Linked DNA regions of Callithrix jacchus. The protein of the gene in region 3 interacts with the protein of the main gene of each other region in a pairwise test. Links are inferred from orthologs where the notes say so. Each region holds a gene or a part of one and is shown on either strand. Other genes may lie near its edges. The genes, in order: ERBB4, ERBB3 and HDAC6.

Evidence for each region.
Region 1: the proteins of HDAC6 (region 3) and ERBB4 interact in a protein complementation assay, tested with the Homo sapiens proteins (2 studies listed by BioGRID and IntAct, with this or other methods). The link is inferred for Callithrix jacchus from reciprocal best matches to the Homo sapiens genes HDAC6 and ERBB4.
Region 2: the proteins of HDAC6 (region 3) and ERBB3 interact in a protein complementation assay, tested with the Homo sapiens proteins (2 studies listed by BioGRID and IntAct, with this or other methods). The link is inferred for Callithrix jacchus from reciprocal best matches to the Homo sapiens genes HDAC6 and ERBB3.

The regions. Positions count from the first base shown.
Region 1 is NC_133507.1:134,244,890-134,249,102, reverse strand, and holds the start of ERBB4 (receptor tyrosine-protein kinase erbB-4), read left to right. Parts: upstream 1-1,393; 5' UTR 1,394-2,006; coding exon 2,007-2,088; intron 2,089-4,213. UniProt on the Homo sapiens protein: Tyrosine-protein kinase that plays an essential role as cell surface receptor for neuregulins and EGF family members and regulates development of the heart, the central nervous system and the mammary gland, gene transcription, cell proliferation, differentiation, migration and apoptosis.
Region 2 is NC_133510.1:63,577,617-63,581,141, forward strand, and holds part of ERBB3 (receptor tyrosine-protein kinase erbB-3), read right to left. Parts: intron 1,944-3,525; coding exon 1,870-1,943; intron 1,541-1,869; coding exon 1,450-1,540; intron 1,181-1,449; coding exon 975-1,180; intron 763-974; coding exon 630-762; intron 430-629; coding exon 339-429; intron 128-338; coding exon 1-127. UniProt on the Homo sapiens protein: Tyrosine-protein kinase that plays an essential role as cell surface receptor for neuregulins.
Region 3 is NC_133524.1:49,380,652-49,384,846, forward strand, and holds the start of HDAC6 (protein deacetylase HDAC6), read left to right. Parts: upstream 1-1,380; 5' UTR 1,381-1,399; coding exon 1,400-1,495; exon of another isoform or gene 1,496-2,109; intron 2,110-2,190; coding exon 2,191-2,313; intron 2,314-2,397; coding exon 2,398-2,526; intron 2,527-2,661; coding exon 2,662-2,750; intron 2,751-4,195.

The DNA.
Region 1 (4,213 bases), on a different chromosome or scaffold from region 3:
CGTCTTCATGGAGCCTGTTATTTGCTGTAGGTCTAAGAAAGGGAAAGCTTCAGGCTTCAGGCATCTGTACTTCCTATCTGTTCTCAGTTCCATGGAAATTCTTGAGGGATGGGGCTATAGATAAGAGAGTGGGAAACAGAGATCAAGATCTCTAATGAAAAGCAGGGTGGTTTGATTTTTAAGCTCCCCTGATACTTTTTATTTATATATTTGCTGCTTCTAGAAAAACCAAAAACGGAAAGTAATTCATACATAGAATGCCTGTACAAATAGCAAACCAATAACCTACTACCCCCAGGAGATTCTGGCCCTTGCCAGGGTGCAGTTTCATAGCTGTAAAAGGCAAGGGATATGTACATTGAAATGACCCAGTCCCAGAATATTTAGATTCAGAAAAGGTCAGAGATGCTCATAACTAGCAATGGCCTCAGGACTGGGGAGCCTGAATGCAGAGTGTGGACAAGGAAGAGGCCTAAAGCTAGGTCTACTATAGAATAAACAGAATCATTTAAGGTTAATAATGTTCTGATGTGTCCTTAAATTCTCTCAGGCTTGAGACAATTTCTAGCCCTTTAGGATCAAATCAGTGGCTTTGGACAAGAATCTGCTTAATAAGAATGAACTCCAAAGGTGAAAAACCCACAAAATCTAAAAATCAAAGGATAAGGGTTTATAAATGTGAAATTTTAGTTTGGCTCAATGATGGTCAGTTTGGAAATGTGGGAAGAACCAGAGAGATGGCATAACTGGGGCTGGAGCCAGGGTGGTGATTGGTGATTATACACCCACAACTACCTAACCGCAGGGGCTACCAGTTACTTCCTGATCACACTACTTTCTAATTGTGGACCATGAGTGGCAGAGTGCTGCAGGAGGAAGCTTTTTGCTGAAAGCAACATTGAGTTTCCTTTTATTTCTAGAGAAAGTCCTGTCTGTAGAGGAGCATTGGGGGGCAATGGAAAAAACGCTGCCTTCTTGTTTAAAAAAAAAAAAAAAATTTTTTTCCGTAAGCGCCCCTCCGATGGTCTGTTCACTTCGCAGGCCAGCTGTCCCCGGCCTCTGCCAGGGCGGGAAGAGGAGTGCTTCAGTGCGTGGCTTCGGATGAGCCCTTTAAATCCAGCTTCCCCTGCCCCCACCACGCGGCTCCCTCTCCCTGACAGGTGTTTTCCCAACTCCGGAGGCCCTAGGATTTTGGGGAGTGGCTGAGCCAATAAGATTTCCCTTTTGGGGGGGGGGAAGGGCGTGGCTAGTTGGGTCAGAGCATGGGCGGGGTTTGAGCGGCTGAGCAGAGCCTGCCTGGTTGCTTGGAGGGTTGTTTTATTCCCACCGCCCCCCACCTTTTTTTTTTTTTTTTTTTCTGGAGTCTTATTAATTTCTCTGTGGGGCTGCAGCTGGAGACCGCGGAGCGTTGGAAATGACGCTCAGAGCTTTAATTACTGCAGCCGCCGGACAAGTGTGAGGAAAGCTGACAGGAAAAAGAAGAACGGGATCCGGGGAGAAGCGAGAACCTCCCCCCGCCCCGCTCCCCTCCCGATTTGGACTGAAGGTGCACGGAAACTGAAGAAGCAGCCCAACATAGCCCTGCTGTGGGGAGAGGCCGGAAACCTACCGCCTCTTTGCAATCAACTTTTTTTGGAAACCTTTCTCCCCCTCTTCCTTTTTTATTGTTGACCAACCAGTGAGAGAGAGAGAGAGAGAGAAAGTGAGAAGGGAGCGAGCAAGTGAAGGCTCACGCGGGGAAATAGCTGCACAGTCCGGCCCGGAGCGCCACGCGCACACAGGCGCTCACACTCGAACGCACACTCGCCCCCTCCTCGGGCCCCGGCCCTGGACCTGCCGGCGTGGACTCTGTCGCCCGCCCTGGGAGTTGCTACACCGCGCGCGCCGCGCCCGCCCCCCTCGCGCCCCCACGCGCGCCCGGCTGTGGGATCTCCTCCGCGTGCCCGAAAGGGGGATATGCCATTTGGACATGTAACTGTCAGCACGGGATCTGAGACTTCCAAAAAATGAAGCCGGCGACAGGACTTTGGGTCTGGGTGAGCCTTCTCGTGGTGGCAGGGACCGTCCAGCCCAGCGCTTCTCAGTCAGGTGGGTTCCTTCTGGCGCTCCGGTTGCCAAACCTGCCGCCGCCGGAGGGGCTGCCTCGAGTGGCTCCCCTGCCCTCTTCACCCATCCCGGGAGGCGTGCAGGGACCGCTTGACCGGGGGCTCTCGGTCGCCCCTCTTTCCACTCGAAACTTACCCTGTATGTGTGCGCGAGCTTTGTTTACCGCAAAAATCATTCTCAGCCCCTGTCCCTTTTTTTTCTCTCCGTAACCCCCTATGTTTCTCTCCCGAGCATTTTGTGTGGAGCCTAAGCGGGATCCCTTATGGTGGCGCCTGTTGTTCGGGACATGGGAGACGGAAATCCCCAGTCAGAGGAGACTCTCCTGTCCCACTCTGGGCTCTCGAGGGAAGAAGCCGCTCCACCGGGGCCGCGGAAGGGCTGGAGTCCCAGGGCGGTGTTGGCTGGGCCTCTCCCGAACCCAGCCTGAAGGGAGGTGGAGAGTGGCGCTCCGAGAGTCGGGCTGCGCACCTGTGTGTGCTGCCGGCGGCCTCTGCGCCCCAGTCACCCGAGCCTTGTAGGGTCAGACGCGACTAGCGCCCAGCCGGGGCAGCCGAAGTGCAGCGGGCTGGCCCTCTTCGGCCCGGGGACCGGAGCGCCGGGCCTCCTCTGCCAGCTTCCCGGAGCCCTTGCCCCAATGACTTCAGGGGCGCTTGCTGGCCTGCCTGACCTTGAAAAAAGAAAAAGAAAAAAGGGGGAAAAAAAGGGTTGGCACACTCGAGCCAGAAGCCCGGCCTTCCCGTCGGTTGCCGTGTTTGGCTCCGGGAAGAGTTCTTCCTGTAGTTCTACTTGCTGTTGGCCGGAGTCCTTCAAACTTGTCTGTTTACTGCCCCGCGGTGCTGCCCAGCCTGCGGGTCACCGGATCCACCCCAGGCGCGAGCAGCGGCGGCGGCGGTGCTGGGTGCACGGCCACTGCTTGCTAGAGAGCTCGAACCCCAGGTACCTGGGCAGGCAAAGGGCTCATTGACCCCGAGAGACAGCGCGGCGGGGCTGGCGCACCACGGCGTGCAGGACTAATGACAGCACCTGCAGTGCAAGGGAGCTCAAAGTTTCTGACACTTGAGTTTCTTGGGATGAAAGTGGGACAGGAGAGGTCTGAGGAGGACCGCTGTCTGACGCGGCCAAGGGGTGGCTTTTGGAGAGCCAGGGAGATTTCCGAAACCATCCGGGGCTGGTGACTGGAGCGTGGGAGGTAGCTCGAGGTGATAAAGCCCCCGGGAGTGGCGATAGGGAGAGCTTTAGGCCCCTGTAGGGTATCCTGACCTCACCAAGAAAACAGCAAGCTGTAGTTTTCCCGCTCCGCCCCCGCCGCCGCCGCCACCTCCTCCTCCTTTGCCTAGTAAATAACAAGTTACAATCATCGAGCCTTTCAAAATGACCTTCGAATGGCACATGTGCGGCGTTTGTGCTGGCGGTTTGCACCCTCCCAATTACTCCGAAATTCTTCATGCATACCAGGTCCCGCGCTCCAGCCACCTCCGGAATCATACCAACACGGACTTGACATTCCAAGCGGCCTCTTAGATACATCTCTTTTTATCTCCCTCCCCACTTCGAGTCCCTTCATATTTCCCCTCAATGGGTTGATTATGCACATTGACCCATTCAAAGGCAGTGGCGACCGACATGCAGGCTTAACCGAGAGGAATTTCTACGAGGCGACCTACTGGGGACTGTCTGGTTCAGCCTCTGCCATTGGGGGACCCCGCTCCGAGTCCGCAGCAATTTGGTATTAACTGTGCGGCTCCGGGTTGAGCTATGCCGAAAAGCCCTTTTCAGAATTTCAGCAAGGAATGTAATCCAAATTAGTTCTGCAGCTGTCCTCTTCCTCGGCTCAGGCGACACCAGCTAGCGTCTCGCTCCTCTCTTCTCGTTTCCCTGGGCGAATTGTCAGACCCACAAGTGAGCCCATTTAGAGCGCGAGGATTAGCGTGCCATTGTTGTTCCATGTGTGACTCTGTACTTGAAATTCTGGGGGCACAAAGGCGAGTCTCACTTGTTCAAAACACAAAGTGATCCAGATGAAAGGGCCGCACAAAGAAAAGCTCTCGGGTGCATCCCTGGTATAATTGCAACACGCATACTAAGGTGATCCAGTGGAAACTGTAAA
Region 2 (3,525 bases), on a different chromosome or scaffold from region 3:
GACATTCATTCTGAACATCTGGGTACTTGTAGATGGGGCCTTTGGCACCTAGGACTCCATGGGGGCAGCTACTCACACAGTGGGGCCCATCTCGAAAATGGGCACATTGAACACAAGTATCAGAGCCCTGAGTGGAAGAGAGAAGGTCAGGATGAATCAGATCCAAGGTCAATTCCATACCTCCCAGCAAAGACCAGCCCAGACATTCCGAATCTTCTATCTGCAGACCCTAGCATTATCTGTTCTCTCTGTGCTCTCCTTAGTCATATCATTCCCCACATGCTCCAAGTATTGCCCCTTCTCTGTCTCCCTTGGAGATCCTGGTGCTGCTACTATACCGAGCCATTGCATGTGGCAGTTCCCTCCATGGGCTGGCATTCCGGGTGGCAAGAGAAGCATTCGGACTCATGGGCAAACTCTCGGGGCTCCCTGCATCGGGGAATAAAGGGAGGGGGGTCACTTCCAAGTCCTGACCTTCATGCCCTGATACCACAACCACAGGTCTCCTCTCTCACTCCCACCAAGGCATATGCAGAAAGCTTTCTAAAGGCTTTTATTATATGCTACCTGAATAGTTCCATTGCAGGGTCTCACCCCCACCCATCTTTGACTGGCTCCCATCACTGTACCCATTCAGAAAGTTGCAGTGGGTTACACAGACACCTCCTCGGCTGTAGTTTCGACAGGACAAGCACTGACCAGGGCCCGGGCCCCAGCATCCCCCAGAGGAGCACTGTGGGTCACACACTTTGCCCTCTGCCACTGGAAAAGAAAGGATAGATTAGGAGAGAAGTCTGAGGACTCCCAGCCGGCCCTCTCCTCATTACTCTTTCTTGTTACTGCTTCCATCTTAACATCCCCCTTCTCCTTGATTCCATCCCTCAACCCTACTCCCACGTGTGGGCAGATGAATCCTTCCAGCCCTCTCCTCCCTGACTCCCTGTTCTCACCACCCAGCAGACCCTTTCCCTCACCGCATTCTCTGCGGGGCCGATTATGCTTGATGTCTAGTCGCTCTTCTGAAGGCCCCCGAAGCAGTTTGGTCCAGTTCAAAGAGTGGTGGTAACAGAGCTGCCGATTGGCACTTATATAGATACGCCCAGCACTGATTTCCTTCAGGGATCGGAAGCCCAGAGATGTGACATTCAAGTTCTTCATGATCAACAATGAGAAGCCCCGGCTGAGAATAAGGAGATAGGATGAGAGGAGACTACTAAGGGAACATCAACTATGCAGTGGATTCATGTTAACCAAAAATGTGCTCAGTGCTTAGTCAGATCACTGAGAGGGAGTCCCCTTCCTTTTGCCCTTTCCTCATCAAACTCTGAAACCCTTTGGTTTTGAGGCACTGCTGTATGTATGAGACAGTGCCTTGTATTTTACTCAAGAATGCCTATGACACAGGCTTCATTGCCTGGAGATGCCATTTCCTCCATACCCTTTACTCACTTGTAGAGGCTTCTGCCTCCAATGGTTGTCAAGTTGGAAAAAACACTGAAGTTGTGCATGTGGGGAGGCCAGGACTGGATGTTCAGGTAACCTGAGGAGTTGGAGAGAGGCAATATGGGCAGGGAGCCTGCTTTATTGGGTTCTCCTGGCTCCTCCCCTGTAACTTGGGATGTGATTTTCTCAAGTAGTTACACCGCAATTTATGCCAGTGGTTCACCTATTCTAGAAAGGGCAAACTCTCAAGGCTGGGCGCGGTGGCTCACACCTGTAATCCCAGCACTTTGGGAGGCTGAGGCAGGCAGATCACCTGAGATCAAGAGTTCAAGACCAGCCTGACCAACATGGTGAAACCCTGTCTCTAAAAAAACATAATAAATAAAATAAAATAAAAAAAGAGAGGGCAAACTCTCTGCCACTCACCTGTGATCTCCTGTACTGTCTGGAAGACATTGAGCTTCTCTGGGTCCAGGGCAGGTATCTTGTGCCAGGGGTCTCTGAGAAGAACAGCAGAAACCAGTCAACAAGGTAAAGGTTATACCTTTACCTTGATTACCAGTGTCAATGAGCACACACAGCCTCAGAATTTGGTTTCTTTTCTTTTCTTTGAGACGGAGTTTCACTCTTGTTGCCTAGGCTGGAGCGCAATGGCACAATCTCAGCTCACTGCAACCTCGGCCTCCCGGGTTCAAGTGATTCTCCTCTCTCAGCCTCCTGAGTAGCTGGGATTACAGGCATGGGCTACCACGCTCGGCTAATTTTGTATTTTTAGTAGAGATGGGGTTTCTCCATATTGGTCAGGCTGGTCTCGAACTCCCGACCTCAGGTGATCCACCCACCTCAGCCTCCCAAAGTGCTGGGATCACAGGCATGAGCCACCACGCCCGGCCTTCAGAATTTGGTTCCTAAATATTATTCTCTACTAAAAGGAAACATTCCTCGGAGAAATGGCTGGGACAGGGGAACTGTAATATGAGCCTAGAGCATCTTGTGCAAACAAAGAAAGACTTAAAGAACTAAGCATACAGCCCAAAGAACACAGGAGCCAGCTTGGAGGGGCTCCCAAAGGCCAGATCAGGGACACCTAAACACCAAAATAAATGATTGTAAAGGATTATAACCATTGACTAGAATAAAATAAGTATCCAAAAGAGTAAATAAATAGGAAAGAAAGACTTTTTTTTTTTTTTTTAAGAGACAGGGTGTCACTCTGTTGCCCAGGCTGGAGTGCAGTAGTGTGATCATAGCTCACTGTAACCTTGAACTCCTAGGCTCAAGCAATTTTCCCACTTGCTCCCAAAGTGCTGAGATTACAGACATGAGCCACTGTGCCCGCTGGAAAGACTGTTCCTAACACTAGAATGCCAACAAACACATGCAGAAGAAGTAATGGAATTAGAAAATCATCATTTGGCAACTATCATAACAATAATTGATTCAGGCAATTATCCCAAGACGTTTAATAATAGCAAATGGAAAAAACAGTAACTTTACAGTAGAAAAACCTGACAGGTTTTTCTTAACTAAGTGACCAGAGACATTATTGTGAGTGCTGGGGCAAATCAACATCACGTGCATCCTCAATAGGATGCCCTGAGCTCACAGCCTCTGTGGTGTTCCTGTCAAACTCCAGCCTGGAGACAGTGCATGCCTGTAATCCCAACACTTTGGGAGGCTGAGGCAGGAGGATCGCTTGAGCTCATGAGTTCGAGACCAGCCTGGACAGCATGGTGAAACCCTGTCTCTATAAAAAACATAAAAAAAACCAGCCCTGAGTGCTGGTGTGCATTTGTGATCCCTGCTACTCCAGGGGCTGAGGTGGGAGGATCACTTGAGCCCGGGAGGCAGAGGTTGCAGTGAGCCGAGATCATGCCATTGCACTCCAGCCTGGGCAATAGAGCCAGATCTTACTTATCTCAAAAAAAAAAAAAAAAAAAAAACCTACAAAAACTTGAATCTAATCATGAGGACACATCAAACAAATCCTAACTGAAGAACATTCTGCCCATTAACTAACCTATATTCATTAAGAATATCATGAAAGATAAATAAAACCTGAGAAACTGTTATAAAGGAGAC
Region 3 (4,195 bases):
GCTGACCCCTGCTCCACAGGAACCTCTCTTCTGATCCAACAGAAAAATGGGCCTTGACCCTTTGCAAGACTCCCTACTCTATTATGTTCCAGGTACCACAACTCTAGAATTTGTGTGTGTGTATCATTGTATGTGTTTTCTTTGGTGAGTGTAGGAGTTTAAGTCTTAGGTCTGCAACTCTTTTGCGCTGAGACAAAAGAGGTTCAGGTAGGAGGAATGAAAAGGGAAGAGGCAGCAGGAATTGGCATCTTCAAAAGGATCAGAGGGCACAGCTACTGGGCGGTGAGACCGTCAATCTGTCAGTCTGCGACGCTGAACCCCCGGACTGCGAACTGCTTATCTCTCCGTTTCCAGCTTATAGACCGGTAGGAAATGGTGGAGAATGAGAGAGGGAGATTAGGAGGACAAACCGGCCTCCTGCAGAGCTGACATTTAGACCCAGAGTGGGAGTTGCGGGGAAGGGGGTTCCCAAGGACAGCTCCCCCGACTCCCCGGGCACACAGACACTTTCTATTACTCCTTGGGAGCAGAGGTTACCCGTCGGAGGGGGCAGATAGGGAGAGCTGCTGCCCATGAGTAACTCCCCTCTTCGAGTCCATTCTGGCCCTGGGTACTATTATTATCACAACTTTCCAGATAAGGACACGGAGCACAGAGCTGTTCAGTAACTTGCCCAAGGTCACATGGTTAAGTCCCGTAACCTCAGTTTCCTTATCTGCAAAGCAGCCTTAATAATGGGAACTACCTCATAGAATTGTGGTTTACAACGATGCCTGTCACACACTTGCTATCATTACCATTCCCTGCCCCCACTAAGACTCCTTTCACCCAGAATATTGCGGCAAAATATTAATAGCTAACATTCGGCTAGTGCTTCCTGTGTACCACCGTACTGAATACTAACTCGAAAAATCCTCACAACATTTAGCATCGTCACCACGCCTATTTTGGCCGCCACCAGCCAACGTCCAGTGGCAACCCCGCTCTCGGCCCATCCACAACTAGCCCGCCCGCGCTACGTCATCACGGCGCGTCGCGCAGGAAGTCCCGAGGAAGAGGGAAGAAGCCCTTCCTAATTCCCACGCTTCCTTGCTTGCTCTCGCGACACCGCTGGCCTGGAGGGCTCCTAAGTGACTGGACGGGGACAGAGGGGCGGCGGCTATGGCATACAGGATGACAGCGATGGTAATCGAGGGAGTGGAGAGCTTGCGCCGCAGCCCGGTCGCGAATCAACGGCGCGCGCCTTTTACGTAGGCACAGTACAGTGACGTAGCACGCCGACGCACCATCCCGCCTTCTGTGAGATCGCGAGAGGTGTGGCTCGCGCGAGGGGCGCGGCCTTGAGGCACGTTCCCTTCCGAAGGCGGGATCTGGGCGGGCAGTCGAGAGACCAGGCCCAATGGAAAAGAAAGGCCCGGACACTCGCGTCCCCACGGGTCGCCAGGAACTTGGCGGAGCGAGCCAAGGGCGGAGTTTGAGAAAGGGGTTGCGCCCGGTGAGTGGAGCGGCGAGGACTGGCCGCGTCGACAGCGGAGGCGGGAAGGGGGTGGAGGCCGACTGAAGGCGCTCAGGACTGGCTGAAGGGGCTTAGCGAAACGTTAGCGGTCCGGTCCGGGCAGGGGGTGGAGCTGGTGAAGGAACGGGGCAGTCCCCTAAGGAGCGGGGCTGGTTGAAACGCTAGGGGCGGGATCTGGCAGAGTGGAAGGTACCGGTCCGGCCCGATAAGGGGTGGAGTTAAGTGAATCGTTAAGGGTGGAGTTGAGGCCGGGGCCGGGGCCGGGGCGGGCTGAGTGAAAGGGTGGGTGATTATCCTGGGAGATAGGCCGAAAGGGCAGGTACGTGAAGGAATGGGGTCCGGGCCGGGCTTAGAGGGTCTGGGAAGGGCTTGGGAGAGTGGAAGGGGTGGTGATTGGTTGGAAAGGGTGGGCCCTAAAAGGGATTGAGTGAGCCAGGGGGCTCATTGCTCAGTGAAAGGGCAAGACCGGAGAAAGAATCATGTAAAGGGGTGGAGTCTAGCGGACCGGGCGGGTCCAGGTAGCATGGCCACCTGAGTGGAGGGAGAAGGCCTGAGAGAGGCGGAGTTTGGAAGGCTGTGGAGAAAAAGATCGCGTAAGGAATGGAATCTAATAGAGGGGGCGGAGTCCTCTGGGCACACTTGCCCCTTCACACACCCACGCCTCCCCCCCCCAGAACCGAGACAGGGGCAAAGCCTCCTCAGCTATGACCTCAACCGGCCAGGATTCCACCACAACCAGGCAGCGAAGAAGTAGGCAGAACCCCCAGTCGTCTCCTCAGGACTCCAGTGTCACATCGGTGAGGCCCTAGACCCGCCCTGAGGAGGGGAGAGGGAGCAAGCTGGCCATGCCCTGGACTCTGACCCTTCTCTCTGATTCGCAGAAGCGAAACATTAAAAAGGGAGCCGTTCCCCGCTCCATCCCCAATCTAGCGGAGGTAAAGAAGAAAGGCAAAATGAAGAAGCTCGGCCAAGCAATCGAAGAAGACCTAATCGTGGGACTGCAGGGGATGGTGAGCAGGGCCTGGCTGCAATTTAGCCTCGTATGACAATCAAAACCCAAAGGTTCCCCACCGTGGACAGTTTAGGATGTTCCTTCTGACTCAAGGCCTAAAATGGATCTGTGTCTCCTTTTTTTTCCTCTGCAGGATCTGAACCTTGAGGCTGAAGCACTGGCTGGCACTGGCTTGGTGTTGGATGAGCAGCTAAACGAATTCCATTGCCTCTGGGATGACAGGTGAGGCTGGATCTTCCAGGCTGTCTCCAAATCACAAAAATACATACACTTAGAGCCCATTAGCAAGAACAAATCCTTTCTTACCCCAGCCTGGATACTGGAAGCAGGTGATTTGGGGAGGTAGGGCTCACACTTGAAAGGGTTTTTCTATGTAGCAAACAAACATTTATTGAGTGCCTACTGTGTGCCAAGAGTTAGTGATACAAATGTACCAAACAACAGACAGGGTCCCTTCTCTGGGAACTGATTGGGTGAGTAGGAGGGCAGAGTCTTAAACAGTCAACAGCAGTATGAGGTATTTAATGAAGACAAATTTAAGACCAGAGGGATTCAAGGGTGTGTAATAGAGGATCCTAGACTAGTATCCGGGCTTCCCAGGAGCCTTTCTAGAGGAAAAGACCTCCCATTTGCTTTACTTTTCAAAAAGAATCATCAAATCTTTTTGGCTATATGTTAAATTATATTCACCATTTGACCTCAACTCACCACCTCCACTGCCACGATCATCATCACTCACCTAGACTTCCAGAAGCCTCCTCCCTGGTCCCCTGCTTCCAGCCTTGCCTTATTGTCTGTTCACAAAGCAACGTAAAAAAAATATGTGTGAAATGATGTTGTCTTTGTTTAAATACTTTAAGGAGGCCGGGTGTGGTGGCTCACACCTGTAATCCCACCACTTTGGGAGGCCAAGGCAGATGGATTGCCTGCGTTGTCAGGAGTTTAATACCAGTCTGACCAACATGGTGAAATGTCGTCTCTACTAAAAATACAAAAATTAGCTGTGTGTAGTGGCACACACCTGTAGTCCCAGCTACTAGGGAGGGTGAGGCAGGAGATTCGCTTGAACCCAGGAGGCGGAGGTTGCATGAGCAGAAATCACGCTATTGCACTCCAGCCTGGGGCAACAAGAGCAAAACTCTGTCTCAAAAAAAAACTTTAAGGGCAAACTGTTACCCTCAAGGTAAAGTCCATATTCTTCATCCTGGCCTCAAAGGTTCCACATGATCTGGCTCCACCTCACTTTGTGACTTCATCAGCCAATCCTCCTCACCGACACTTGTCCCCTTATTCTTCCAATATGCCAGGCACCCTCTTGTCTCTAGTCTGTACCCTGGCCAACCCCTTTCCCAGAGACTCCTTTCTATCTTCTTCTCTTCCAGTTACCTTTCACATCCCAATGAGACTTTCTCAAAGAGGATTTTGCCTGGCCAAACCCTACCCCAATACCTGATCTTATTTTCCTAGCCCATGGCATTGTGTGCTAATTGTCATACTTGTGTGTTGACCAATTGATATCTATATCCCTTATTCCAACCTAAGACTAACTTATTATGGCAAAAGACTTCTTTTATGGAATACCTATTTAATGTCTATTGAGGAGCAGGGGATACAGCAGTAAACAAAAGAAACAAAAGCCCATGCTTTCAGGGAAAAGGGGCAAGACA